Linked DNA regions of Caenorhabditis elegans. The protein of the gene in region 3 interacts with the protein of the main gene of each other region in a pairwise test. Each region holds a gene or a part of one and is shown on either strand. Other genes may lie near its edges.

Region 1 (7,581 bases), on a different chromosome or scaffold from region 3:
GAGAGCGGCCGTTACACATGCTATAACATTGTCTCCTTCCTCTAGTGCACGAGAGCGGCCGCCACACATGCTATAACATTGTCTCCTTCCCCTAGTGCACGAGAGCGGCCGTTACACATGCTATAACATTGTCTCCTTCCTCTAGTGCACGAGAGCGGCCGCCACACATAACACATGCCCCCCCCCCTTCTGACGGTGTGCCAACTGCATGAAATGCCTGTGCAGGAGACCTGTGGAGATACAGTGCTGGCCAAAAAGATATCCACTTTTGGTTTTTTGTGTGTAACTTTTTTCTAAGTGGTTATTTTGTTTTGAAACTTCACCACAGTGTTCACAAAATCTAAAAACACAATATTCATCAAAAATGTTCAACAGATTTTGAAAAAACTTCAGAAAAATTCAAAAAAATCGAAAAACTAGAAATATTGAAAAAACCGAGGTTGCAAGGAAATGACAATTAAAGTACCGGAATATGAGCAATTGGATTTAAAAACAACATAATTATGCTTAATACTTTGTCGCGTATCCGTTTGCATCAATAACAGCTTGACAACGACGTGGCATCGAGTCGATCAGCTTGTGAATAACTGACATGGGGATAGCTTTCCAAGCGTTTTCCAACTGGTTGAATTTGGCATCTGCATTTGAAGCCCGAATACCTCCAAGACGTCTTTCCAACTCTTCCCACAAATGCTCTATTGGATTCAAGTCCGGAGACTGACTTGGCCAATCGAGCAAATGCACACGACGACGTTGAAACCAGGAACGCACATGAAGAGAAGTATGCTTAGGATCGTTATCCTGCTGAAACACGAAGCCACGGCCCACATTTTGAAGTGCCCAGGGTCGCATTGTAGTTTCCAAGATGTTTTCGTATTGAAAACGATCCATAATGCTTTGGATTCTCCTTAGTGGGCCCATGGAAGTGCTGGTGAAGCACCCCCACACCATGACGCTCCCACCTCCATGCTTAACGGTTGGGCATTGATACTTTGGAGAGTACCTAGAGCCAACAGGACGACGTACCCAGGAATTTCCATCACTCCCGAACAAATTGAACTTGCTTTCGTCAGACCAGATGCGCTTTTGCCCACGCAACTCGAGCCATGCGATTTTTCTTACTGATGAACGGTTTCTTGACTGGCTTTCGTCCGTGTAGTCCTGCTTGCTGTAAACGTCGACGAACAGTTCGTTTACTTGGTACAGGTTCATTTGGAGAACTTATAATCATTTGAATATCCGTGGCGGTCCTATGCGGATCTTCTCTTGCTGATCGGAGGATGTTGCGATCCATCCTATGGGTTGTCACTCGAGGCCTGCCGGGCGAGATTCTCAAAGCGACGGATTTCTAAACATTTATTATTAAAAAATAATATTTTTCGAACTCACCTCAGTTTGGTACTTCTTGATTACTTTCCAAATAGTCGACGGAGAACGTTGAATTTGCAGCGCGAGCATTTTCGTGGGTATTCCTTGTTCGAAGCCAGCTACAATGGCTTTCTTGACGTCCAAGGAAAGATTTTTACACCCAACAGATTTTACCATACCTTAAAAATAATTTATCAACCAAACAAATCCAGAGCAACAAACAGAGTGCGTTTTATTGATAATTCAAAAAAAATAATGAAAATTGGAAAAACGAAAAAATCAAAAAATTGAAATAAAATTCAGAAAAAATCGATAATCATGTAATGTTTGGTCCGCAAATTTGCGTAACATTTCGCTTTATGCACACGGAAAAATTCAAGTCAAATGGATGCTTGAGAAAAAAGTTACACACAAAAAACCAAAAGTGGATATCTTTTTGGCCAGCACTGTACGTTGACCGCAGTTAACATAACCGTATTTTCTCCCTCATTTTCTCCTATTTTCCCCCTAATTTCCCCTTTTTTTCTTTTTTTCTAGGAGTCGTCGCCGCTTTGCTGAAATCTTGCTTAAATCTATAAAAACAGACCACAATTTAGTGATTTTGTCCGTTTTGCATTTTCAGTAGGTGACCCTAGTTTGGAAATTTTGAATTTTACCATTTGAAGAGGTATTAGGTTGGGAGTTGGTGGGTGATAAGGGAGAGGTACTTTGTTATACTGTATTATTAGTATTATTAGTAAGAGTACTGTAGGATTTGTGTAGTTTGGGGAAATTTGAATTTTTTGCTATTATTAGGATAGGGCTGGTTTTCAGGCGAGTTACACGGGTTTAAAGTTGATGGCCTAGAAATCTTAAGGCCACCAATTTTTAGAATTTATCGATTTTAGTAGATTTGAGACATGTTTTCGATTTTGTCTGTTTTTCGGAATTTGAAGAAAATTTCCCTCTGAAAAAATCGATAATTTTTGAATTCCGGAGTTGTTAGTCGAAATCTCTCGAATTTGCGCTGTTTTCTGTCGATTCTCAGAGATTAAGGGTCCAATAAAATTATGTTGGCATGTTTTTTATTAGCAGTGTGTTCTGCCGAAATTTAATGAAAAATAGTTTTTCCGGCTTTTTTTAAAATAATATTTGTGTTTTTTTCGACGATAATTACCAATTTTCTTTGAATTTTCAAGGTTTTTTCTGTAGTTTTTACTTGTTTATCTTGTATTTCCAATTTATTTCAGTATTTCCTCAGTGGCGTCTTCAGTGGATTTCTTTTTTCGCGAAGAAGATCCCGAAAATTTGCAATTCCCACTAAAAGGACTACTGTAGTCAATACATTGTGTGACACCGCCACGCGAAAGCGCACAGTTTCCCACGCTTTTGCCGTGGGAATTTCCAATTTTCCCACGGTGATTTTAGCATATAAGAGGAGAAAAATGGGTCAATTTCCATTTATTTTTCGACGAAAATGTAAGTTTTTTCGATTTTTTATCAAATTTTGTTGGTTTTCTTGAGAATTTAGTGAAAAATATTGACTTTTAGATTAAATTTTAAATTTTGTCGGAAATTTTCAAATTTTTTGCATAACTTCCATGGAGTTAGAGTTTAATTGAATAAGTTTTTGTTCAAAAAATAAAAAAATTATGCCCAAAATTTATTTATCACTAAAACAAATTTTCGAAAAAAAATTTTTTTTTTGATCTACCCGCCGATTTTCTAATTTTTCTCCTTTTTTTCAGCGATCATCGAACCATTGTCATCACGCCACGTGCATAATGCCATTCCATTATCCAAAACTCTACATGGATCACCGCGGAAACATGTCCACCTCATCGTCTCTGACGTCATCGACAACCGCCACGTCATCATCGTCAACCGGAGGCGTCCGCAAGCAGATTCTCACGTTGAAGCCAAAGCAACCGAATGGTTATGTGCAACACTTGGAGATCAAGGCAAAGGTATAGATTTTTGTTTTAAAAATCATTTTTTTGAACCCTAAAATTGATTTTTTCTCTTTAAAAAGTTGGATTTTTCCAATAAAACTGTTTAAAAAAAGCTTTCAAAACCGAAAATTCGTGCTCAGCACCCTCGAAAACCCAAAAATCCCGCAAAAATCGATAATTTTCTCTTAATTTTGAAAAATTGGTCGAGTGGCGTAGTGGGATTTTCCACAACCTGCCACCAATCACAAGAACAGTGTTCGAGTCCCCACTGTGGCAACTTTTTTTTTGTTTAAGCTTTGTTTAAGCTGTTTAAGCGAAAGCTTTAACACATGCGGACATCAAAAATTTGACTGAAATTTCAGATTTTTCCCAGTTTTTACTCAAAAAATGTAATTTTTGAGCTTTTTTAACCGAATTTTCGGCTTAAAGCCTGATTTTCGCAGTCCCAAGCCCTTTTAGAACAATGCTTCAAAAAACAAAAAGATTTTGCCACAGTGGGGACTCGAACCCCGGTCTCGTGGCAGTGGCAGCCGACGAAAATCCCACTGAGCCATTTGGGCACTTTTTTGAAAAATCCTCAAAATAGCGGAAGTTATCGATTTTTAAGCCAAACAAATAGCTCTGGGTTCGATTTTTCCATTAAAAATTATCGATTTTTTCAGGAATCAAGCCAATCTTCGGTGATTTCCGGCGGTGTCCCGGTTCCGGTGACCCTGTTGGAGTTGAAGAAGAAGGATCGTAGCGAGAAGAATGTGGTGACCAACCTGAAGTATCGTAAGCCAACGGCGAATCATCATCTCGATTCGGTGCATTCTTCGTCGGAGCACCATCACCACCACCATCTGAGCCTGAGCTCTTTGACGCGCCGCCCGGGATCTCCGTCCTCGTCCGGTTACGAGACTGACTCGCTCGTCGATCAGGAGAATTGCGACGTTTTTTCGGTAAATTTAAAAAATTTCAAATTTGAGAAAATCCAGAAAAAAAAACGGAAATTTTGAACCAAAATTGACTTTTTTTTTTTTGCTCAATTTTTCCACTAAAAGTGAACTTTTTCATCTTTAAACTACTTAAAAATCAGCCTTCAACAATTTTTCTCATCAAATTCCGGTTTCTCTTTCCAAAAATCCAGATTTCTGCGAAAAATGTCCATATGGCGCAGTGGGATTTCCCATGTGCCTGCCAATTTTAAGACCCGGGTTCGTGTCCCCACTGTGGCAACTTTTTTTTTCGAAGTGCGATTAGGTTAATTTTAGTGTCCTGAGCTCGAAAATCTTTGATAAATTTATTTTTCCTCGCGGAAAACATGGGAAAAAATTTGAAAAACTTCGAAAATCCCTAAATTTTCGATTAATACCGATTCCCCATGACATCTGAGCACACTGTAAAACCTAATCGCAACGAAACAAAAAATTTTGATACGACGGGGAGTCGAACCCCGGTCTTGAGATTGGAAGCCGACGAAAATCCCACTGCGCCATTTGGACATTTTGCTGCAAACTGCCAGAAATCTAAATTTTAATGCTTTTTTCATAGTTTCAAGTGTTCAAAAAGCAGTTTTCAGTAGCTTTTTTTTATTTTTTCAATTAAAAAATTCAAATTTCCCTCCATTTTCAGAGTCTCTTCAACTCGTCGCTCAGCTACCAATCGGCTCTCGACCATCATCATCAGTTTCACGAGCTCGACATGCTTCACTCGCATCCGATTTGGTCTCCACAGTTACCGAACAACAACACTTCACTGATGATGGGCTCCAACAGCTATTATTTGCAGTAGAGCGTACTTGCTCTTTTAAATTTTCTAATCCCCCCCCCCCCCTAAAATCCCACCCCACGCCTAATTCTTTAACTAATAAGAATTATCAATTTTTTTGGTTTTCTTTCTGTGTAATAAACTCCGCCCCCCTATTTCTAGCCCCACCCCTTTATCTCTCATTTTTCTAATAATTCTTTGTTCAATCCCATCATTCTTACCCCAACTTCTGTTTCAGCTCCCCCCAATTCCTCCTAATTATTCTAATTTATTACAAGCTCCTCCCATCTCCAACCCTCCGTGCTTGCGAAAATAAACGTTTTATAAGTAAAAAATTGTGTTTTTTTTCTGAAATTTTTCGAAAAAATAGGTTTTCGACTCGGGAAGTACTTTACTAGTTATGGCAAATCGAATGAAAAGCTGAAAAAAATTTTTGCCACAGCGCGAGCTTGAACCCCGGTCTTGTGATTGGTGGGCGACGAGAATCTCACTGCGCCAATCGGACACAAAAGTGCTGTAATAATCGATTTTCGGTTGAAATTACTGTTTTTTACCACTTTCTAGACGATTTCCTTTCTTTTCTGTGTATTTTTTTTTTAATTTTTCTAGTAGGAAAATTGAATTTTAAGCGATTAATAAAGAAAAAAAATCAATTTTCAAGAGAGATTTTTGGAATTCAAGCATTTTTATTAAATTTAAAATCTTTTTTCTTAATTTCTACCTATTTTAGTTTATTTCTCCCATTTATTCCCTTTTGTTTCCATCCAAAACCCACAATTTCCGGCCGGTGTGCGGTGGAGCGCGCTTGCACACTTTTATTCCAGCTAGCTGCTCGCCCCGATTTTTGCTCAATTTCATTGATTTTTCGCCGATTTTCTTGCAGAATTCCATGAAATCCAGATGAAAAATGCTTTTTAAAGCGAGAAAATGGATTTTAAGTGGTGCGAGTGCTCAAAAAAGCAAAAGTATGGCTCATACGATGCTCGTCGAGAATGGATTTATTTTGCCGACGGCGAAAGGATTTTATAGGTGAGTTTTTTGTGAAAATTGATGTAAAAATCGTGAAAATCACAAGAAATTGTCCTGAAAGCTGTGGAAATGTCAAAAATTGTGCAAAATATTAGGAAAATTGGATTTTTTTCAGTTTTTAGCGCAAAAAATCTGAAAATCGTTTTTCGAAGTGAAATTTGCTGAAAATTATTTAAGTTTCATTTATTATTCTGAGATAATTGGAAAAACAACTGAAAATTGTCGAATTCAGCGCAAAAATGCCCAAAATTTTTCCATAAACGGTTTTTTTTCCACAAAAAACCTCATTTTGCAGTTCGAAAATTAGATTTTTACGTAGAACAGCCCCAAAAAAAATTCTAGCAAAAAATTTAATTTTCTAATTAAAAAATTAAAAATTCCTCAAAAACCGACGATTTTCCGTCAAATAATTATTTTTCCGCTGAAATTTTTTCGAAATTCGAGATTTTCTCAATTTTTCCAGAAATCTGAGTTCAAATTCAGATTCTACGTGGCAAATAACCGCTTATCATCCATTTTCAAAGTTTTTATGCAAAATTCCGTCAAATTCGGTGTCTGGTACGCAAACACTAGGCTACAGTAACCCCGGGACATCCGATTTGACGACATTTTGCACTAAAACTCTCAAAATTATGATTTAAGAGTATTTTTCCACGTAGAATCCGATTCTGAGCTTCAAATTTCACAAAAAATCAAAATTTATGCGAATTTTTGCAGTCTCCTGCCCCTCGGACAACGTGTAATCGACAAGTTGTGCCGAATTCTCGACGTGGAATTTCAGAACTCGGGAGCTCTGAAAATCGCGATGCCGATCGTCGGAACACAGCAATTATGGGAAAAAACTGGCAGATGGGAGGCGATGGGACCGGAAATGATTCGATTTCACGACCGACAGCAGAATCATATGTGCCTTCAAGTGGGTGAGCAGTTGGAAATGGGGAAAAATTGATGAAACAACTCTAAATTCCTAAATTCTGAGCTCAAAATCGGATTTCTCGTAGCAAATTACCCCTTCATCCCAATTTTCAGTTCTTTAGTGCAATATGTCGTAAAATTCGGTGTCCCGGGGTTACTGTAGCATGGTGTTTGCGTGCCTGGCACCGAATTTGACGGGATTTTGCACAAAAACCTGAAAATGCTGGATTTGAGGTTATTTGCACTGTAGAATCCAAATTTGAACTCAGATTTTCAAAATTTTGAGTTTTAGTGCAATATGTCGCAAAATCCGGTGTCCCGGGGTTACTGTAGCATGGTGTTTGCGTGCCTGGCACCGAATTTGACGGGATTTTGCACAAAAACATTGAAAAAGTCAAAATAGGGATTATTTACCACGTGGAATCCGAATTTAAACTCAGATTTTCAGACTTTTGACTTACGAGCCAAACTTTTGGGCCAAAAATTCACTTTTTGCCGAAAAAATCCACTAAATAGTCAAAACTTCGGAATTCTGAGCTCAAAATCGGAGTTCCCATAGCAAATTACCCCTAGACCGCAATTGTCAGGT
Region 2 (6,927 bases), on a different chromosome or scaffold from region 3:
CAAAATGAGCCATCTTCTCCTCGTCGTCTCTAAAATTGTGTTTTTGATATTTTTCAAATATCTTAAAACGCCTATTCCATGGCTTCGAAAAGCTGAAAATCGACCTCCGCGTTAATCTAATTTGAATTTCGCGCGCAAATGAGTGCTCCAGTGCACTCGCGCGTGTACTCCTCTCGGACAATTAACTATTAGTTAATATTTTAGATTCCTAGCGATTTTTCGTATTTTCATGATTTTTCATAATTCATTTTGGCTTTTATTTGTAACAAGCATGAACAAAAGTAAGAACATTTATTTTTTTAATCGAATATTAGAAGAATACCATCTAAACAAATAGTTAAAATTCCAATTTTGCTGAAAAATTCGTTAAAAGTATTCTGATTTTTGTTCTATTTCGCGTTTCGCGTTAGCGTTTAGTAAATTGGTATGTTTTCGTGCTCTAGAAAAATTTATACTGAAAAGATACGAAAAGTCGCGACAAAATCTAATTAAATTGACATAATCGTTGATTTTTGACTCTTGAAAGATCCTATTCACCAGTTTTTCAATTATTCTCACCTGATATCAACCTTATGGTCAACCAAACTCGAGAATTTCCTCTCTGCCTCAATTCCCAATTTATCTCCATTTTTCTCCAAAAACTGAATACGATCGATAACTTTTGAAAGGAACAAAACTTCAGTGAGTGGAAGATTTGGGAAGCTCTCAAATTTAATATTAATTCCAATTTTTAGTTAGAAACCCACAGCTTTCAGTCTTTTGCATTCTGGTTTATGAACTAACCAGGCAGTTGCCTGACACTCTTTACTACAATACATTGAGAAATTACATCCACCACAACGAAGAAGCTTCTCTCCTGGAGCAGGACCACGAAGACAGTTTGCACAGAATTCGCTCACTTTTGGATTGAGAACTTGAGTGGCGAACGGTGTCTCGAAAATCTGTAATTTGATTTTTAAGAAATTAAATAAGTACAAAAAAAATCACCTTAATTCTAGCATGAATCGACGAAATTTCGTCTTTCTGAACCAATGGATCCTCCTGTTTTGGCACATTCTTATTCTTTTTTACAGCCATTTTCAGAAGTTTCAGTAGAAAAATAAATGTTCACAAAAAGTGTCGAATAGTAAAGATTTTTCGAGAAGAAACAGGAAAAAGAGGGAAAGGCGGAGAGTTCGCGAGATGTGGATGAGTGTAATCACGGCAAATATTACACACGAGAAGCCTCTTGGAGCACCCCTATGCATCGATCCTTCGAGAAGTTTGTTGAAGCATGTTCAATCTATTCGCGCATGATATTATGTTTCCAGTGATCGATGAATAATGTGTGGAAAATTCCGAAAATCTTCAACTGTGTGCCTCATCCCAATTTGAGATTTAATTTCTGAAATTCCTGCCAATAAATGAATAAGAATAGCGAAAAGTAAATATTTGACATCTTTATTTTATCGGGCAAGATCCCACCAGAGACAAAAGAGCACATGGATATACAGCGAAAGATTGGATGGGATTTGAAATTCACATAATTCGCACAGTTGATTATGTTTTATTAAAAAAGGGAAGGGGATCAAAAAACAGGGATGGTGGTAATATGTAAGTTAAACATAAAATGGTGTGTGTGGCAGGAGCTAATAAGGATCAGAAAGAATTAATATAAAAAAGAAAAACGCTCACACGGAATGCCCGTATTCGTCAACAAAAGAATCAAGAAGAGAACCGCATTTTTTTGGATGATAGTGTAAAACAAGAAGAACATTTGAAGGGGGTGGTAAAATATAAATTAATTGATATTTAAACCAATTTTATTGCTTAGACTGGAACATTTCGAGCGTGTCCCATTTGTTCGACCATTTCTGAACCGGCACGATCGAGTTGAGCAAACCACAGTCGGGGACATCTGAAATAATAATAATTTGAGAAGATTTTTTTAAAAAAATTATTAGATTTTCGAAGTTTAGATATTTAAAAATCGAAAAAATTACGAATTCCAACACAATTTTTTAAAAGAAAATTTTAGGTCGTGTTTCGATAAAAATATCAATTTTTAGATTTCAAAGAATAAATAAAAACATACGTGACTCGTCCTTGCATATCATAAAGTGTATGCCAATTCCATGGGCCATCACATGAGATGAGTGGTTCGAGATTTGCAACTCGTTGGCACAGTTTCACATACGACTCCCAGCAATAGTGACACCGAACCCATGTGCCCGGAGACATTGGAACCGATGCTGCAGACGAATTGGACGTCACGTTGGAATTGTAAGTTGTTGGCATATAATCCACATATCCACTTGAACGCTTCACGTTGGCATATGATAACTCCGACTGAAAAAAGTAAATTTTTATTGAATTTTGAAAATTATAATTTGATTTCTTTAAAATCACTTAAAATTTATTTTAAACTCACCGGCATTGCAACTTTTGGAACAATTGGTGCGACATGTCTCGTGGATCCATTTAGACGACTCGACCCGCTGATCTGGCTCACATTGTTACGGGATGTGCTGGTTGATGGTTGCACTGGTTGCTTGTATCGACAATCAGGCAAAAGAAACATGTCAAGATCCACGTCAACTGATGGATCCATGATTTCGTGGATTTTGTTCTCATTGTCTGACAATGTCAATCCAGAAAACATGTTCTCCGACGAAGAAGCCGACGAAAATCCGGAAGATGGTGTTCTCATCAGTGGTGGTGGGCCAGACGTTTTTCGAGAATTGTAGTGTGTCGGGCGATCAAATGCATGATAATGCTGTTGTTGTGGAATCATTGCACGAACTCTCTTGTTCTTCTCTATATACGTCAAATGCAATTTTTGACTTCTCAGGCCCGAACGTTGTTGGGGAGAAGATGACAAGCTGGAGAGAACTCCGCTATCTTGACTGGATTCCCAAAAATTGGAAGGTTGATTGAGCGGAATCAGCGGCTTGATTTCAGATCGGAGTTGAAGCAGCTGAAATTAATTTTTATTAATTACGTCTATTTAATGAAAAATTATTTATTTTAATTAAAAAAGAGCAAAATTCTGTTTTTGGAGCGCAAAATTCTATTTAGTGACGAAAGCCACGTGAACGGCGTGACAAAAAATAGGTCAGTTTCGACACGTTTATATAAACGAAAAATAAAACTTCCAACTCACTTGCTTCGGCGCCTCGTGTTGCGACTTCGAGTAGGCGATGGTACTACTGCTTTTGTTGCAGTTGTTTCTCTGAAAAATGATAATATTATTATAAAACTGAAGGTAATAAAAGAAATGGAGAAAGTTGGAGAATCGGGATCATCGTTGAAACAATTCAATCGGAAAGAGAAAATACATATTTAATTTCAAAAAAAAAGTGAACTCACTCTTGGAGGAAGAATAAAAGTCGAACACATTGTCTCGCGCGAAGATTGAATAGTCAAATAATTCTTTTGAAATGAGAAAGAACATGGCACCGACGAATAATTGGACAATTCATCGAAAATAACAAGCGTGGGAAAGTTGTCATTTTCCCACGTATTTTCCCACGCCTGGGGGAGGCGTGGGAAAATGCAATGGAGCAAGAATGCAAGAGCTTTTTTGAATTTCGCGGGCTTTAAAAACATTTAAAAACATGTTTTTAATCGACAAAAAGTTTATTTTTAAAGAAAAAACATTGGATTAGTCTGAAAATTGAAAAAAAACCTCAAAATCGCTTGGGCAAGCAATTAAATTTGAGAAAAACGTTCCCAGATGGGAAAGAAAATAGTTTCCCATTAATCGAAGCCGCTCAAAAAGGTGTGCGCCTTTAAGATGTACAGTAACCCACTCCCCTTTCGCAATTTTCTTAAGCTTTTTCTAGTTTTTCTATTTCAAAAATAAGCAGAATTACATGAAAACCTGAAAAATAAGGCAAAAAAAAAATCTTAGCGAGAAAAAAATAACGTGTAAAATTCCTTGCAAGCGGGTTACTGTATTTCTTAAAGGCGCATACCTCTCAACGCGTCCCGGAATTGGAAATATTTCGTTCGTAAAATATAGAAGTTTTAAAATTGGAATGTAAAATTGTCATCGAAGCCTCATCAACCTAAAATCCGAACACTTTCAATCGGAACTAATCTAATTTCAATCGAAATGGGGGAAAAATGAAAAGAGATGAGAGTAATTAGAGTGACTAAATGAAACGATAAAAACTACGACAGTAGGTGGTCAATAACGGCAGGTAGAAGATGAATGGAGACCTCTTCTTTAGGAGAAAAGAATGACAAGATGAATCATTGAACAATACAGCCATTTGTCAATTTGAAAACATTTTGGGAAGATATCTAAGCATTCTCAGATGTTTGGGAAATTGGAACTTATCAAGGAAACATTAAATTTAAACGGAAAAAAGGTTTAAGATAACAAAAAAGCGACATTTCAGACACTTCGAAGATTTTATTATCGTTTTGAAAACGGAACTGCATGAAAATTTTGTTTTAAAAAAATAAAAAATAAAAATATTACCTAGGTACGAAATTTTGCAATTTTTACGACGAAAATAAAGTACCAGGTCTTGAATTTATGTTAAATACAAGCAGGTTTGCGCCTTAAATCTACAGTACTCCTTGAGACTACTGTAGATTCAAAATGTTCGTTTCCGTCGAATTTTCATCGATTTTTCAAAATAGTTTTTCTTACATTTGGCACAATTTATGTGTTTTTTCTAATTTTTATAAATATTTAAGTTTTATAAAAAATTTTACCGAAAACCTACGAAAAAATCTTTGAAAATTCTGCAGCGATCACCACAAAAATGGGCTATCAAAACATTTTTTCGTGGCGAGACCCATCCGAATGGACCTGTGTGCCTTTAGCTTACTTTGGTGCCATACAATAAAATTTCGATTGTAAAGAAAAAACTACAAAACAACGAAAACTATAAAGTTTCCAAAAACTTTATCACTAGGAACGCGATTCAATTCTCACTAACTTTCTTTTTATCAAATCACACTCAAAATTCAATAAACCGATTAACTAAATGGAATGCCGTCAGTAGTAACAATTGAAAGATTATTAAAAGTGTAAACTTCAAGTGCAAGCTCTCCTTCTTATCAGTTTTTTGTCACGTATTTGAACAGATGGAGGAACATGAGAGACAGATTGAGGTCAAGTATTCGAATACTTTAAAGCTGGAGGAAAAATAAAATTTTAGTTTTCTAGAAGAATGCTTACTATTAGTAATAAGTTAAGAAGTAATCTTCTTCTTAAAATCTTAAATAAATAGCGAACATCTTATGTTTCGAGTAAGTGAAAAAGTGTACACAAAAAACCTGTGTGCTATTTGAACTTTATCAGTATGTAAATATTTAGATGGCATTCGGGAGGTTAGAGTAAACCACCCAATATTTTGTTTCTAAACTATTTTACTTACTCACTAAATATTAGTTATCGCGTAACCTTTCGACGGGGGGCGCAACTCACAATCACCCTCTCTCACCCGAAATCGCCTCCGGAAAAGAGAAGGTGGCCTGTGATTCTCAGACTTTGGTAGCTCACAACTTGACTATCTTTTTGCTAAATTTAAAAATTGCAAACTAACATTGTGATAATAATTTATTTTTCTATATTTTTGTAATTAAACATTTTTAATAACTATATAATAAGCCAAGAAAGGTCTATTTAAGTGGAGCGACAAAAACATGGTGCACCCAAGTACTGTTACTTTGTTAACTTATATCTCGGTTAAATTTGCAGGTACAAAATTGAACATAATAAACTTTTCGTTAGTTAGTAATTTTTTGATAAATCAAAACACAACCCAGATATGAGCTCCCAAAGTTGGTGCATGGAGGGGGACTACTGCTTAACTTTGACATCTCATAACTTAATTATATTTTGTTTAATCCTTGGAAAGTTCCACAAAAATATTAATATTTCATTTTGCTATATTTTTGTAGTGAAAACCTTATTGAAATCTATGAAGTGAGCCGAGATGGCCAGGGCTCGTGGTATTTTTCTTTTAAAAAAATTCAGTTAAAAATTAAGAACAAATATTTTTCCCATAAACTACATGCTACAAAACTATTCAGAAACTAGTGTCACGACAAAAAAAGGACGTAATTGGAGTAAATGAAACGATAAAGTGTCAATGGTCGTCCCGAATAACGGGTCGGATGCAGCAGTGATGAATCATCAAAAAGAACACACGACGCCCACTCTCTACTTCTTACCCGTTATGGTTCTATTTGCTGCTGCCCTGCCACGACTGTGTGTGAGCAGAAAAAAGAATAAAGAGAGAGAGAGAGAGAGGTCAAGACAAACATAGAAAACGATGAAGACAGAGAGGGACAGTGTTCTTCTTCTTCCTCTACTTGTTCATTTTCTCGCGCATCGTATCTGCATACTCTTCCACTCTTTGATATCGATATCTCTACGTCTCTATCCCTCTCACTGTCTCTCTCATGTTCACCTTCATATGGACGGACAGGACACCTCGAGCCATAGCGTGTTATTGGTGACCTCGAGAGACAGAGACAAAGTGTCACTACGTACACCCTTTCGCGCGGTAAAAGCAACATTTTGGAAGAGACGGAGAAACTAATGAGAGAATATGAGAACAAGAGGAAGGATTCAAGTAATTATTATGAATAGGGAGACAGAGAAATAAAGAGATTTGAAAAGGTGATAAGTTTGCGAAAACGACGGATTATCTGCTAAATTAGAGGTAAACAGACGCGAATAATATCCCAAGATAGGTCGCATGCCTACCTACCTACCTAGAGCATACTGTAGAATTAATACAATACTGAATGTGTGAATTTATACAATACTATGTGGACATCAAACACAGAAGAAAACAAAAGACAGGCAAGAAGGCATAGATAGGCATAAGTGCCTGCCTACCATAAAAGCCTTATAGGGAGCTTTTGGCAATTTGTATCAAACGTTTAAAAAAAATTAGCAAACATCTCTTAACGTTTTTC
Region 3 (7,822 bases):
CACTACTAACTTTAGTGGTTTTTAACTTTTAAATCCACTAAAACTTGGAATGGTACAGATTATGCAAATTGTAATTTCAAGAACTGAATGTGGTTTCGAATATTTATGGATTGCTTTATTCTAAAACTGACTCTGAAATATTTTGCATCCATATGACTACTAATTGTCATATTATACCGAACACTACTAACTTTAGTGGTTTTTAACTTTTAAATCCACTAAAACTTGGAATGGTACAGAACATGCAAATTGTAATTTCAAGAACTGAATGTAGTTTCGAATATTTATGGATTGCTTTATTCTAAAACTGACTCTGAAATATTTTGCATCCATATGACTACTAATTGTCATATTATACCGAACACTACTAACTTTAGTGGTTTTTAACTTTTAAATCCACTAAAACTTGGAATGGTACAGAACATGCAAATTGTAATTTCAAGAACTGAATGTGGTTTCGAATATTTATGGATTGCTTTGTTCCCACACTGACTCTGAAATATTTTGCATCCATTTGACTATTAATTGTCATATTATACCGAACACTACTAACTTTAGTGGTTTTTAACTTTTAAATCCACTAAAACTCGGAATGGTACAGAACATGCAAATTGTAATTTCAAGAACTGAATGTGGTTTCGAATATTTATGGATTGCTTTATTCTAAAACTGACTCTGAAATATTTTGCATCCATTTGACTATTAATTGTCATATTATACCGAACACTACTAACTTTAGTGGTTTTTAACTTTTAAATCCACTAAAACTCGGAATGGTACAGATTATGCAAATTGTAATTTCAAGAACTGAATGTGGTTTCGAATATTTATGGATTGCTTTATTCTAAAACTGACTCTGAAATATTTTGCATCCATTTGACTACTAATTGTCATATTATACCGAACACTACTAACTTTAGTGGTTTTTAACTTTTAAATCCACTAAAACTCGGAATGGTACAGAACATGCAAATTGTAATTTCAAGAACTGAATGTGGTTTCGAATATTTATGGATTGCTTTATTCTAAAACTGACTCTGAAATATTTTGCATCCATATGACTACTAATTGTCATATTATACCGAACACTACTAACTTTAGTGGTTTTTAACTTTTAAATCCACTAAAACTCGGAATGGTACAGAACATGCAAATTGTAATTTCAAGAACTGAATGTGGTTTCGAATATTTATGGATTGCTTTATTCTAAAACTGACTCTGAAATATTTTGCATCCATTTGACTACTAATTGTCATATTATACCGAACACTACTAACTTTAGTGGTTTTTAACTTTTAAATCCACTAAAACTCGGAATGGTACAGAACATGCAAATTGTAATTTCAAGAACTGAATGTGGTTTCGAATATTTATGGATTGCTTTATTCTAAAACTGACTCTGAAATATTTTGCATCCATATGACTACTAATTGTCATATTATACCGAACACTACTAACTTTAGTGGTTTTTAACTTTTAAATCCACTAAAACTCGGAATGGTACAGAACATGCAAATTGTAATTTCAAGAACTGAATGTGGTTTCGAATATTTATGGATTGCTTTATTCTAAAACTGACTCTGAAATATTTTGCATCCATTTGACTACTAATTGTCATATTATACCGAACACTACTAACTTTACTGGTTTTTAACTTTTAAATCCACTAAAACTTGGAATGTTTCAAAACACTTGAAGAACGTCCTTCATTCATTTTTTATGTACTGCGTAAAAATCTGTGTTGTTAGATTTTAAAAAATATTTGAGTCCTATTCCTACCTATTGCCACGGCTTCAGACGTCAACAAATAAGGGGACACGTTGCTTACTCCTGATTTTCCACGTGAAAAGTGCATGAGGAAATCGTTTTGTATGATATCAAAGGTTTTAACAATCCCGATTACTTTTTTTTTTCTTTTTTTTAAATCCAATTCCTCTTTTTCCAATCTTTCTATACGTTTCAAGGGAGGCATATTCATTCTAGTTCTCGCAGCACTCTCCATTTCTCGCGTATACTCTAATGTAAGATTACTGTAGAGAATAAAGTGCAGCGAGACTATTCCGAATAGACACTTATCCAATGAAACTCATAGAAGTACAACACTTATAGTATAAGTGCTGAAGAGTAGAGATTGAAATCAAATTTATTTACAGATGCTGTTTCTCGTCTGTTCTGTTATTCTCACTGCTGCCGTATTGGTGAACTGCGGAAAATTTAAGGCTAAAAAAGGCGAGTTTACTGAAGTAATTGGGAGGAACTTACCTTTCATTCTCATTTTATTTTAAATACTCTGTGTTTTCAGTCGAAGAGGAGATTGGTGGGTCGATGATGTTCGCACCGAGAAGACCACCGCCAGGCGTGGAGGCTCGCCCCACAATTCCAACATCAATGGTTTACATGGAGAACGACGACGCCAACTCTACCTGGCGTCAACGAGAGGAAATCTTCGAATAATTTGTTTGTTGTTTTTGCGTAATGAATTATTTTAGTGTTGAAATAATTTTATTTAATTTTTAGAGTTTTCGTGTCCAAATTTATCTGGATTCATTAAATTCGAAAAAAAAAAACAAAACAATGAACAATAAACAGAAAGAAACAATAACACAACTGCATGAAAAGCAATAAAACAACAAAAAAGAAAAGAAAAAACAAAACTGGGCAATGATAAGGGTGGGGATGGCACAACATCGATCTTAAAATCGAAACGAAACCATTGCAACAGTTTAAAATATTACAAAACAACAGAACATAAGTGGGTGGGATGAGATTTATGGTGAGAAAGTTCGCATGAGCCTCAGGTTACCTTCCTCGATTCCATTCTTCTCCAACTCTAGACCATCGTGTTCGGAAGCAGTACTGAAGCAATCCGTCTTGAATGATTCATGTCCCGAAGATTGGAGTCCATAAATCGGATGAGTTGAACGGAGATGGGCAAGCGTCTCGATCATCTTTTTGCCGGATGAGAACCTGAAATTCGAATTTCAAAATATTATTGTGACAATAGTGATAACCTTGACAAGCGATGCCTTTCTTTCGTAACTCTCGAGTGCAACTTTTTGAGCCAAACTTGGAATGAGTTTGCATGGTCATAGCTCCCTTCTTTCGTTTGTCGTCTTCCAGACACAGCATCACAGCAAATAGTCAGCATGCATTGAACGACGTAGTTTCCGAATTGATGGAACATCATGATATCGAGAGCATCTTTTCCAGTGCCCCTGAAAAACAATTTAATTTTTATGTGACTGAAACGAAATTTTTACGGGTGTGGCATGTATCCGTCGAAAATCTCGTCCATCATTTCAGCAAGAAGTTCCATTGGTGCATGTAGGAATGCTTTCTCTACAACATGAGACGCAAACTTTTCCTGGGATAACGAAAGAAGATTGCGCCTGAAATATTAATGATTAAAAATCAAATATATATTAAACAACACTCACATGAGGCATTTCTCTATGATACATTCCCGATATACGGCCAGATCATCATTGGATACAATATGCTGTATTATGTAATTGGCATACTCGTTCGTAGCTAATTCTTGGCACCGATTAGTCACAGAAGTCATGAGGCGTTGGAGTGCTCGTTCACGAAGATGTTGAGCAGCGGAAGTTAAATCAACGTTTATTGAATCAGCAGTGAGTTTTTCGATTATAGTTTGCACAACACGGCACCCATACTTATCAAAACAAATCTGACGGAGGTGCTCTGGGGTTGCAACAAAATCCACGATAAACTCCCAATTCTTCAGTGGGATGACAGCTACGACTTTCTGAATGACGTGATTGGCATTTTGATCAACACAGATTGCGATAAGACGAGCATCACGAGGTAGAGCTTGAACAAGTTTACACGCAAGGGATAAATCCATGTTCTGGAGACTGGATTGGATAACACGACACGCAAATTTGTCCAAGCACATATCTGTCATTTGGGAACTGATGAAGTTCTTCAACTTTTCTTGTCGCTTTATGTTGTCGTCATCATAAGTTGTCAATGACATTCCAATGATTTCTTGTACGAAATAATTTCCAAAGATGTTCGTGCTCAATTTCTGAAAAGAAAAGTCGTGTGTGCTCGCAGAAACTAAAACTTACAAGGAAATCATCTTTTCTCCCAATAACTTGTTCAAACAATTGGAACTTCTGATAAGATGTCAGGCTGCCCTTCACGGCCTTTTCGAGGAACTGGCACCCAGTTTTGTCAACGGCAAACTTCATCAAATCGCCACTATCCAAAACTTCAGAGAGCGACAATCTTGAACGCATTTCACCATTGGAATCCAAGGACCAGGTTGGCAGCACATTGTTTGATCTTGTGAATGATCTAGAGTTCCTCGATAGAGCGGGTCTATAAATAAAACAGAATAAACACTTGAGGATAGTGATAAATTAATTCGAACCTCGAATATTTCAAATGGTCATTTTTCGAAGAACTATTGTTACGATCAATCTCGGTAGAGCAATATCGGACATTTTGTGAAAAATCGTCCGGCTCGAGACGCGAGGAATCCGTATCAGACTGAATGAATGATGAAGTTCGGCTACGCGAGACCGGCATGAACACATTGGGCTGCAAATCAGTAATGAAAACAACCAAAAATTAGCTACTCTAACTTACAAAGCTCTGAAAACTCCGGAGGCTCATCAAATCAGTTAGCGGGGTTGGTGGCCGCGATGTAACAATGTGATTCTGTTGATGGCGAGCATAATTCATCCCATCGTTCATATTGAGCATTGAGAAATACGGGTTGAGAGAGTTGAAGTTCCACATTGATGTCTCATGCTGCGCCATCGGCGAATGTGCGGGAGTATGATGATTTCCAACCTCTGTAGATGTGGGCTTTTGCGGAGTCTGTAAAATTTAGGCCATTTATCAATATTAATGGCTGAAAACCAACTTTTCTGAACTGATTTGTATAGCGCATTTTTGATTGGTCCATGTCGATTAGTTGATAATTTTATTCGAATGGTTACTTATAGAAAAACTATCAATTCACAGAAAATAGAGAATAGGAATAAGAAAATAATATTTCAAATTGAATTTGAGAATGACGAAAGTGTGTCACATACTCTGGTGTTTGCGTACTTTGTCATTGTCTACCGTATCCAAATTGAAATTTTCAAACAATGCGATTTGCTTATTTATCTCTCAAAATTTTAGCATCTCCATGGAGAGATATTCTCTGTTAAAACAGATAAAAAATTGTGGAATATTCCAGACCGTACCGTATAAAATTGATAAAACATTTAAACCTCCCGAAAAGCTATAACCAGTTGGCTCTCGCGAGACGCGAGGGACGATCGTCGTCGACGATCGTATGATTGGGATTGGTTTTTTTAAAATTAATTCATAATCACATAATTCAATTTCCAGAAGACTAAGTCCCCATAAACCTCTATAGAGTTGCATTAAATCTCCATATTCCGGATGATGTTTTGATATTTAGAATTTCAGAAAATATTGCATTGTATTTGGATGTTGTAGGAAGCTTAAGCTTCCTACCGTTTAACCATCTAAAACGCAAATTACGATTGTTTTTCAAACATATTGTTTATTTATAAACTAGAAAACAAAAAAATTCCAAAAAAAGTTACATTCGAATATTTGGGGAATTAACGGGATTAGAAGAAATTTGAGAATCACAATCATTATTCAGGATAACCTGTCAGGGGTATCGGGAAATATTGGTAAGTTTTAGATGGTTTTGGGGAAGAATGGGCGTTTTTGGGAGTTAATATACAAAATAGAAAGGAGAAGCAATAAATTAGATAAAAATAAGAAGAATTATGAGACATTCAAGAAGTAGAAGAAGCAATTGTCTATTGTGATCCAGAAAGGGCGGAGCAAACACTTCGAACATCCCAAATAATAATCACACGATTATGGCCACTGGTAACTGGCCCTCATTCCGAGGGGACAAACTTTTAGGGTGGCAAGGTATTTTTGGGGACAAAGTATCCAAAGTGACATGGTATCCAGTCGACAAAGTGCCATTTGTCTCTGACCGGGCGTATCTTCGGTGACAAACTTTTTCAACTAGTTTTTTTATATATATTTCTTGACCATTTTTTGTTCATATTTTACTGGAATAAGTTTTTAAATGCAATTTTCCATGGATTTTCGGCCTTGACTACTCACAATTGAATGCATGAACAATGATCTTTTGGGAAAATGCTGTAAAACGTCCAACTAACTTGGAATATCGTAAGATTCTTCGAGATGATGACGTCGGATCCTTCGGAGCTGAAGGATCAGAACATCAGGAAGAGCCTCGTGATCCTTTGGAGCTGAAGGATCAGACCATCAGGAGGTACCCTTACGATCCTTCTTATCTGAAGGATCAGAACATCAGAAGGTACCCATGTGATCCTTCGGAGCTGAAGGATCAGAACATCAGGAAGAGCCTCGTGATCCTTTGGAGCTGAAGGATCAGACCATCAGGAGGTACCCTTACGATCCTTCTTTTCTGAAGGATCAGAACATCAGAAGGTACCTATGTGATCCCTCGGAGCTGAAGGATCAGACCATCAGGAAGAGCCTCACGATATTCCAAGTTAGTTGGACCTTTTACAGCTTTTCCCAAAAGACCATCGTTCATACATTTAATTGTGAGGGAATTATAACCGATAATCGATTGAAAATTGCATTAAAAAACTTATTCCAGAAAAATGTGAACAAAAATTAGTTGAAAAATACATATAAAAATCTAGTTGAAAAAAAGGTTGTCACCAAAGATATGCCCCCCAAGATACACCCCAGTTTGTCTACTGGATACTTTGTCTCCTTGGATACTATGCCCCCAAAGAACCTTTGCCACCAAAAAGTTTGTCATCTCGGAATGAAGGCCGTTTGTTCCATAGTTTGTAGATATTTATGTTGCTCGAGAACTTCCGGAAAACAGGGAAAAACGTTTCATCTGCAAAGAAAGGCTCAGAAATTTCAGAATTTGATTTTAATTTTGAGTACGCCAGTCGGAGCACGCGCTTCAGCGCGTGCGAACGGCTGGTTTTTATATATTTAAACTCTCAACGTAAGTTGTTTCCTTTTTTCTGATTTAGCTGATTTTCACTTTTCAGATTGCAACATTGATTACAATTAATGTGGATTATTGGAAAATAAAAAAAACGTGTGGGACAAGATGCACTTGCTGCAGGACCTCTTCGCTCTTCTAAAACACGCCGAGATTATGAAGCACATCGCTAGTTTCAACGTTTCAGTTCATGGAGTGTAAGTGAAGACTACCAATATATTTTTCTTGTAACAATTGATCATTTTAGGGACTGGTCTCTATCCGACATCTGCTTCAAACCAGCTCCACCATCTGTCGCAGCCGATTCTGCCGCTTCCTCGCTTGGTGACGTCATCGATATGATATGCATTTGGATTACTCCAATAGATTATTTTTGCGATGGATCGAAAGCTTTTGAGCCGCATCCATCTCTCCCAAAATCCTCACTCCGATCACTTGGGACGTCGTTGAGTGCGCTGTCAGTTGATGATATGATTCGCTGGTCAGACTTTGGGCAAATACTGTTTTACTACTTGATCTTTTACAACGCATCTCTTTTACTACAGGATCTCTTTTACTACGGAATCTCTTTTACTAAGAATTCCACATCTAGATCTTTTACTACAATTGGATATTTTACTACGGAATCTCTATTTTATCTCTCTTCTTGGAACAAAACATTTTATCTCTCTTCTTGGAACAAAACAAGATTATAAAACTGGGAGAAGAATTAGTCCGTTCCAATGCAAATCAGAGCCGTCATGACAATAGAGAAATATTTGACAACAAATCTGAAAAATAAAATTCTGATGA
Region 4 (7,742 bases), on a different chromosome or scaffold from region 3:
ATCTTCGTCTGGTGGAGCTCCACCTCTAGTTCCAAACAATGAAAATGGAAATGGATTCCCTCCATTCGGAGATCGTGATCCCGGAGAGAGTATGGTGAAGCAACAGAAAATGGAAGACGAGATTCGCCGACTGAAAACATTGCTCGCTGAAAAAGATCAACTTATTTTTGATAAGGATAAACAAGTATGATTTATATTCCAGTTTTAGATTATTGATTGAAACATTTCAGATCAGCAATTTAAAAGCCGACCAATACAATCTGGATAAAAAGCATCGCGAACGTGTCCAACAACTTATCAAAGAAAAAGAAGACAGTATTCGAGCAATCGAACAAATGCGAAATTCGAAAAGTTCTAAGAGGAACTGATGTCAATTGAATATAAAACTATTCCTTGTAACTATTTTTATTAAGCTACCAGTTTTCATAATTGAAAATCAATTCTTCATGCCATATTTCGAAATTTTGTGTTCGAGTTTTAAATCAAAAATTAATATTTGGTTCGTGAGCTAATATCTTTTTTAAAATGAAATTATCTTTTCATTGTATTATTCACCTAATATTTACTTCAATTTGATCCAAAGTGCACCTTCCCCCTATCGCTCTCCCCGGTTGACCCGGCATCCCTTTCACTCGTCTTCTAATTACAATCTTTGGACGTAGCTACTTCTATTAACCTACTAAATTTGTTATAGTGTACCCATTTTCTGTCACTGTCATCAATGCCTGTCTAGTTTGATAATCTGTGAGATAATTTTTCTACAAGTCTGTAACATGTTTTTTTTAAATTTTACTTTTTTTGAGATTAGTCTTTTTTTCGAGTCTTTGAATTTTTCATACAATAAACTGTTCTCGTATAGCCTTGACTGTTTTTAAATCTATAGCATAATACATACGCTTTATGGCAAAATTACAGGAGAACTATGTTTTAAATTTAAAGTAGACCTGATTACGCGACATCTCTGGAATCTTTTTTGACCTACGGGCGCAGGCGCGACGATTGCGGAAACATAATTTCAACTGCGTACTAATGAAGAGATGGAAATGCTTATTTTTTGTGATTTCTAAACTTTTGAATCTTCATCATGACCACCGAACGTGTTCTCCAGTATCCGAATTTGTTAAAAATCGTCCCATATCTCAGTTACAGTAAGAGGTTCGTTAATTTTTTTTTTCTGATTAAAAACAGTGAAGCATTACATTTTTTTATAGAATGGAGCTTTCGAAAGTTTCTCCAGAATTTCGATCAATTCACAGTCGATTAGACTATTCACTGAAGACTATGTCATTCTCTCAGGATTACGGAGCAATCAGTGAAGAAGGACCAATAGAAGTAGGATCAGGAATTTTGAAGGTGGAGTCAATTGAATATATTTTTGAATACGATGAGAACATGGATCAAGTGAAAATCAAATGTTTGTTGGCCCCGGAACTTGTGAGATTCTCGAATGATAAGTCAATAATCAGAAGATATTTTCATTATTACCTGGCCGCTTCACAACGAATTGTTCAGCATGTCAAACTCAGGGTTTGTGAATTCATTTTTCGATTATTCTTGTTGATTATAAATTACATTTCAGGAAAGTGACAGTCCATTTCGAAACCTTCAAAGCCTAAAAATTCCATCCATTTCTTGGACTCTAAACGGAGCTAGAGAATATCCTCAATTCATCAATTTCCAAAACCATGTTTTTGAGAAATTAGAATTAATCAATTACGAATCGATCGTATTGACGGAAACCCAGGTATTAAACGCATGGTCTATATTTTCATTCAATTTACGTTTTTAAGGTGAAAAGTTGCAAACACCTTGTACTAAAAAAGGAAACAATTTACCAGGAGTACACCGTTGGAAACGAGAACAGTGCCATCAGAAATTTCTATTGTATCCTGAGCAATATGAAGTTGGAATTGGTTTTGGGACTGAATTACGTCGAATCTTTTATTCTGCTTTGTAACGTAAGTCATTTCGCCGGTATTTGCTCCTTTTATTTCTCGTATTATAGCGTCTTCTTCTCGACACCCTTCACATAGGATCATCTGTCACTGCAATTTTCATCAAGGAACCTCTTCTAAACGTTTGGAGAACCCTATTGGAACGATATGAAGACTCGCGAGGAACTTTTATGGGTTCCGGACACCGAAAGTGTGCTATATTGTCAACTGACAATAATATCAAGGTAGCAGTATTTGAAAATTATTTCGGGAAAGACTCCAATGGAAAAGAGAGTTTCACGGCAATCAAAATGAACAACAACGTGGAATTTGATGCCTAAATCATTTATTTCTCATATTGAAGGATTTTAAATTCACTAACTATACAATTAATTATTGCAATTGTCTTACATTATATTGGATAAAATTCATCTTATTTTTATTTTCGTTTAGAAGCAGTGAAACCATTTAAAATGAAACGAAAAGAAATTCCACGTCGCATTTTCGAATATCGACGTGACCATTCCACGTGAATCATTTCCGTTTTTCGTTAGTTTTTGAATTAATTTTTTGTTCAATTTTTACCCTGAAAATGCAGCAAAATCAAGAACACAACGACTTGCCGAATTCGAACTGTTTCTCAGTTGCGCATGGAAATTCTACCGTACGCCAAAAGGGTTTTTTTTCTTCACAGCTTAAAGGCGCAATACCTGACACAGTGCATGGGTCTCGCCGCGAGATACGGTAAGCGAGCGCCAACGCCACGCATTGAAAAGGCGCTGAAATTTGATTTAAACTTCGCTTTTCAGCTCGCTTTCTGGCAGTTTTTCCGACGATTTCCGTCGGAGATATCCGTCTAATTTTGTCGCCAATATGGTTATGGCTCAACAGCAGAAAAATGCAGAACGAAACGGTGAGCAATCTGAGTTTTCAATCAAAACTTTATTTGAAATTGAGAATCGATTTTTGAGCCAATCTCAACCTTCTCATTCTTTTAATTTATGATTTATCTTTTCAGACGAACACACTCGACGCAACAGATCTCCTTCAGTCGATTCAGTAAGCCGTGTGCAGCAGCAAAGTGGGGGCTTTGCATTTTATAATCAGCAGTCAAACCATCAATATCAGCAATCGCATCCACGACGTACAAGCTTTTCGAGGGATGGGAACACTGGATACTACAACAACCATTCAGGAAATAAAAGACGTCAGTCAGAAAAATTATTGACTTGCTACCAAATTGTTCATTTTCAGAAACCTACAATAACCAGCGCGGCGGACGCAGTTACAATCATCGCGGGAATAGCAATTATCAACAGAATGGCGAGTATTCTGGGAATCAGGGATGTGTCCCAAAATATCATCAAAGGAATCAAAAGTAGAAAATCGAATTTCGTTTTTGCTATTCCTATTAAAATCGGTATTTCAGTTACCCTCAACTGCAACCAAAGTATTCCTACTTCCAACCACATCAGAGACCAATTTTTAACTCGACCCAGGGTAGGAAATTGTGATTGACATAATTTTAGATTAATAGCCTTACATATCTCCCCTAAAATAATAATCTGAACTAATATGAAGAATAAATAAATTTTTTTCAGGTTACGGCACATATTCTGTCCGTCGGTCATCGCCACCATCTCCATCAGCTCTATCAAGCTCAACAGCGAATTCCACATCAAACCGAGCTCCGACGCAGCCTCCAATCCTGCTCAGGCACGCTGAGCCAGCTAGTGATAAGAATCATCAAGGAAGCGATCATGAGCAAAATCATGATCCTAAAATTCATTTGTACAGGTCGGCTGGCACCGCACCGGGTGGATATACTCAATGGTAAATTTGTTTTCCAGGCCTGTATTTCGAATTTGAAGGTTTCTCATTTGATCTACCATAAATGCCCAGATGGTTTATTGCTTCGAAAAGAGTGGCATTTTTTGGCGGTTGTGTTTTGGGAAATGATAATTAAATTTTACAGGAGAATTTTTGAGCCTTTGTATTTTATCTAAATCTAATTTCATCTCATCTAAAAATTATAATTTATAGCCCATCTCCGTACAAACAGCCACCACCACAACCTCCGTCTACACCATCATCTTCCGATAAACGGATTGAGCAGCAACAAGCAGAGGATTGGCCGACGCGGTTTCAACATCCTCCTCCACAATTCAGACGCGGTGAGTGTTATTTTTTTCATTTAAAAATTTTCTAAGTAATATTTTTAGGGCAGGATCCAATGCCAGCCTCAATAGAGCTCCAGCATAAGACCGCCAATCAAACGATGCCAGTTGATATTGTACAGACGAATCAGCAGAAAACTGTGTCATCTTATGAGAGGGCTGCACAGTTTAGAGGTTGGTTCAAGTCATAAGCTCTACTTTATGTTTTATTCAATTACTTTTTTCAGCTTCTGCAAGTGAACTACCAACGGACAGTGTCGATGCAAAACACCCGTGTTTCGCTAACGAGCGTATGCAAAGTGCTTTAATCGGGTTAGTTGGAACAAATCTCAAATTATTTCAAATTAAATTTTAGTTCTTTAAATGCTGAATTCTGTCTTCTGCCCAGTATATAATTATATATTTCCCACGTTATTCTGATACTAGTTCTGAGATTCGGGGAAACTCATTGTCGGCTTCATCAGCTAACTAATAATTATCTTGAATGACATTGCTGGAATGTGTCCTCTGCCCTTGTCACTTCATTATTATTTATTCGTATCTTCTCATCTCATTTCCTGTACTGTTCAAAGAGAATGTCCTCCGTCTAGTAACTAGAAGCATAACCAGTTCATCATCAACAACAATCAATGGTGGAAAATCGGATATTAGACTATTAAGAAAAACTAATAATTTTCGGAATACACTCAAGGGATCATTTATCCATGATATTCAAGAATTCGTGGTTATTTTTTTATAGAACTGAGAAGAACGGTAACTTGACAACTTTCATGTTGATGTTATTTCTCAAAAAACCAAGTTTACACTTATAAATTCTGAAGATTTTTTGCAAGACTGCTTACGATTAGTTTAAACATACACTTTTCTGTTGGTTTTATCATCTTGTCTCTAGAAATTTCTCGGTTTTACTTCCTCTGTCAGGTTTTTCTTTTGTATTTTTTAGTTTCTAATTCCATAAAATGGAAACAATAACACGATTAACAGCGGCTGTAATTTTGCATAGATTAAAAAGTTTATATTGTCAATAGTTAGACAAAATTGAAGTTTTTCATTTCCAATGGCAACGCCTACGAGACATTCCTCTTGTAAACGATATCATCTCCAGATCTGAACATCTTTATTGTTCTACTCTATTTTCTGTGTTTCGTCTTGATCATACCCGTAGTGTTTCGATTTTTGAACTTAACTATGATTAGTTTAGTGACTATCGGATAATATTTAGGAGACCGAATTATAGTTCGTGTCGAATTATGTTATCTTTATGAACACAAGGAATATATTCTACCTAGGCCAGCTAGGAAATTGCATCTAAAAAGTTGCGTGTTCCACTTGATTGGACTAAAAGTTTTTTTTTTAACATGAGCGGATAAACAAAGAATATCGAAGATATTTCAAATGAAATTCATAAACTTACCAATCATCTGCAGGTGGAACTAAAATAGTAAAATGACATTTATCCGTTCACTTTACACCTTTCTTCACTCTCATCTTTCTCTTTTTCACTGTGATTTTCACCCGACCACGAAAAAAGTGAAAATCTGCAGGCAGTCCCTATGTATCTCTGACTTCTTCTTTCTCTCCTTTTCGTCCTTTTTTATTATTATTGTTAGAAATGACACAGCTGAGAAAAGGAGATACGAGGTACAGTGAAAGGGCGTGTAAATGTTATACATATGGCTTGATCTGTGTGTATTATACATCTAAGTCGTTTAGCACTCAGATCATGTAGACAAATGACTTACTGAATTTATTTTGGAAGTTGGTTACTGTAAACTCGTTTTTTTTGCAAGAAAAAAATTGGTTTTTTGTTGATAGATGTTCATGAAAAAATATAGTTTTTTCGATGCTTCAATGATATTATCGAAAAAATACGATCGCACAAATTTCTAATAATTTATTTTTGATCTACCTGTTGAACTTGACTCCGCCCCCAATCTTGTTGCCGTTGTTATTTTGCTGTGGCTGTATTGTCGAAGGAAGGGGAGGAGCCTATTCAACAAGGTAGATCAAAAATAAATTATGAGAAAATTGTGCGATCGTATTTTTTCGATAATATGACATATCCTGTGTTTCGTAATCCAACATTTTTTTCTAATTTCTATGTTTATTTAAGGTTTTTGTGTTCGGTCATCGGATGTGTGCTTATTACAGAATTGTTGTATGGGAATCTCAAAATCTCTCAGTTTCCTATAATTTTCGGATTTTTTTTCGTGAATACCAATTTCAACAGCTGAACAAATCCCTTATAAGCGAACGCTGGTTATTGCTTCTTTTTCGAAACATCTCGCGACATTGTAAATACAATTGGTTCAAAAAAAAATTGAATTTTAAAAGCACCAAATTGGGACCGAGTAGGCAAGCACATTGTCAATATGTTAATGTAGAATTTTTTAATGCCGATTCTAATTGTAAGGGCAATTCCATCCTGTATATCTATCATGATTGCCTGCGATCTGGTTCTTCTCGCCCTACCTGCTAACTAAGTTCATTTCCCTCCCACATTTCCGAAGAAATCCAACAGACAAAATGCTTTACGTGCAGTTTCGTCAAGTTTCTTTTTCCTACCGCCTATCTCTCTGCACTTCTATTAGTGATTTCGCGGGTTTTCTTCCTCTAGAGATGAACACACAGAGCGTTTGTTGGTGTTTTTCTGATTTCTTTTCTCCTCCTTCCGATCTCGTCAATAGGAGGTTGTAGTAAAGGTTAGAGACTAGGAAAGATGGATCAACTCAGCTGTTTTGAAGTTTTGAAGTTATGTTTGTGCAGTTCCAATCTTTCTGTGAGGGATAACTTTTCTTTTTAGAAGGAATACCTACCACAAAATACGTTTTTTTTTAATTTTACGAGTTCCGTTTGTATTTATTACCCTTTGAATCTAGTTTTACTTCAGAAAACTTCCAAAATTTGTAAATTTTCATAATAATATAACTTTACCTACTACAAAAAATTGTCGACATGAACATCCGTTCTTGTTGCCTACTTGAAAGTTCGTTTGTACTAGAACTTCTCTCTGATTGCATTAAGATCTGGCATGTTTCGATGGTTGATAGTAATGTTACATATGTGTGAAATAACTTCACAAACTACTTTGCCAATAACTTGTGTGTGTTCTCTTTTTTGAATCATCCGCTTTGAAAAAATGTATATTTTAGCACTTTCGACCTTTTATCTATCAATTTTTGAGACTATCGTGATAGCCTATGTGTCAATTTCGCTTTCTTTTTTATCATCTGTAATAAATATTACATGAATAGAAATTCAAAACGTCAGATGATCGAATTTCGGTTCAAAAATTTTTGTCGTCATGTGAAAACTAGCAACAAAAAAGGGCTAACATTTTTGATTAATCAAGAAAAACTTCCGCCTATCTGTTATCGAGTCATATTCGTTTCGAAAAAAAAAACGAATTCAATTTCTGCATTTTTAGCAGAAATGCATAATAATATGAAAAGACAAATCTGCCATGTTGGGTCAACTTTGGCATGTGTGTCAATATCGGCACACTTGGATTTCGTTTTTTTTGTGTTGTGTTTTCAACTGTTTTGGGATTGTGGGCGATTGGCAATGTGCGATGAATGGCAGGCACGCATACACAACGCAACAAACAGTTTCATTCTTGCATTCCTTTGTT

The links.
Region 1: the proteins of fbf-1 (region 3) and sygl-1 interact in a two-hybrid assay, tested with the Caenorhabditis elegans proteins (one study listed by BioGRID).
Region 2: the proteins of fbf-1 (region 3) and lst-1 interact in a two-hybrid assay, tested with the Caenorhabditis elegans proteins (2 studies listed by BioGRID).
Region 4: the proteins of fbf-1 (region 3) and gld-2 interact in a two-hybrid assay, tested with the Caenorhabditis elegans proteins (one study listed by BioGRID).

What each region holds. Positions count from the first base shown.
Region 1 is NC_003279.8:12,481,086-12,488,666, forward strand, and holds sygl-1 (Ecdysone-induced protein 74EF), read left to right. Parts: upstream 1-2,723; 5' UTR 2,724-2,826; intron 2,827-3,095; 5' UTR 3,096-3,131; coding exon 3,132-3,314; intron 3,315-3,961; coding exon 3,962-4,240; intron 4,241-4,913; coding exon 4,914-5,072; 3' UTR 5,073-5,150; downstream 5,151-7,581. Other genes in the region: pars-2 (putative proline--tRNA ligase, mitochondrial), read left to right, coding at 5,956-6,077, 6,795-6,993.
Region 2 is NC_003279.8:10,584,963-10,591,889, reverse strand, and holds lst-1 (Lateral signaling target 1 protein), read right to left. Parts: upstream 3,390-6,927; 5' UTR 3,379-3,389; coding exon 3,349-3,378; intron 3,218-3,348; exon of another isoform or gene 3,212-3,217; coding exon 3,143-3,211; intron 2,957-3,142; coding exon 2,411-2,956; intron 2,329-2,410; coding exon 2,075-2,328; intron 1,898-2,074; coding exon 1,810-1,897; 3' UTR 1,426-1,809; downstream 1-1,425. Other genes in the region: Histone-lysine N-methyltransferase set-18, read right to left, coding at 1-29, 559-704, 747-941, 988-1,077. UniProt on the Caenorhabditis elegans protein: Plays a role in germline stem cell maintenance, perhaps acting in concert with mRNA-binding factor fbf-2.
Region 3 is NC_003280.10:6,075,782-6,083,603, forward strand, and holds fbf-1 (Fem-3 mRNA-binding factor 1), read right to left. Parts: upstream 5,063-7,822; 5' UTR 4,940-5,062; coding exon 4,898-4,939; intron 4,852-4,897; coding exon 4,618-4,851; intron 4,570-4,617; coding exon 4,400-4,569; intron 4,348-4,399; coding exon 4,095-4,347; intron 4,052-4,094; coding exon 3,438-4,051; intron 3,390-3,437; coding exon 3,261-3,389; intron 3,216-3,260; coding exon 3,012-3,215; intron 2,968-3,011; coding exon 2,769-2,967; 3' UTR 2,482-2,768; downstream 1-2,481. Other genes in the region: H12I13.6 (uncharacterized protein), read left to right, coding at 2,154-2,229, 2,303-2,454; F21H12.3 (uncharacterized protein), read left to right, coding at 7,139-7,227, 7,278-7,725. UniProt on the Caenorhabditis elegans protein: RNA-binding protein that binds to the consensus sequence 5'-UGUGCCAUA-3' in mRNA 3'-UTRs. Involved in the control of stem cells and sex determination in the C.elegans hermaphrodite germline.
Region 4 is NC_003279.8:6,367,222-6,374,963, forward strand, and holds the start of gld-2 (Poly(A) RNA polymerase gld-2), read left to right. Parts: upstream 1-2,526; 5' UTR 2,527-2,678; intron 2,679-2,743; 5' UTR 2,744-2,807; coding exon 2,808-2,847; intron 2,848-2,952; coding exon 2,953-3,141; intron 3,142-3,188; coding exon 3,189-3,312; intron 3,313-3,363; coding exon 3,364-3,434; intron 3,435-3,535; coding exon 3,536-3,767; intron 3,768-3,977; coding exon 3,978-4,108; intron 4,109-4,156; coding exon 4,157-4,285; intron 4,286-4,338; coding exon 4,339-4,423; intron 4,424-7,620; exon of another isoform or gene 7,621-7,742. Other genes in the region: K04F10.7 (Protein FAM76A), read left to right, coding at 1-184, 231-368; ZC308.4 (F-box domain-containing protein), read left to right, coding at 1,085-1,155, 1,212-1,527, 1,580-1,744, 1,791-1,958, 2,006-2,275. UniProt on the Caenorhabditis elegans protein: Cytoplasmic poly(A) RNA polymerase that adds successive AMP monomers to the 3'-end of specific RNAs, forming a poly(A) tail.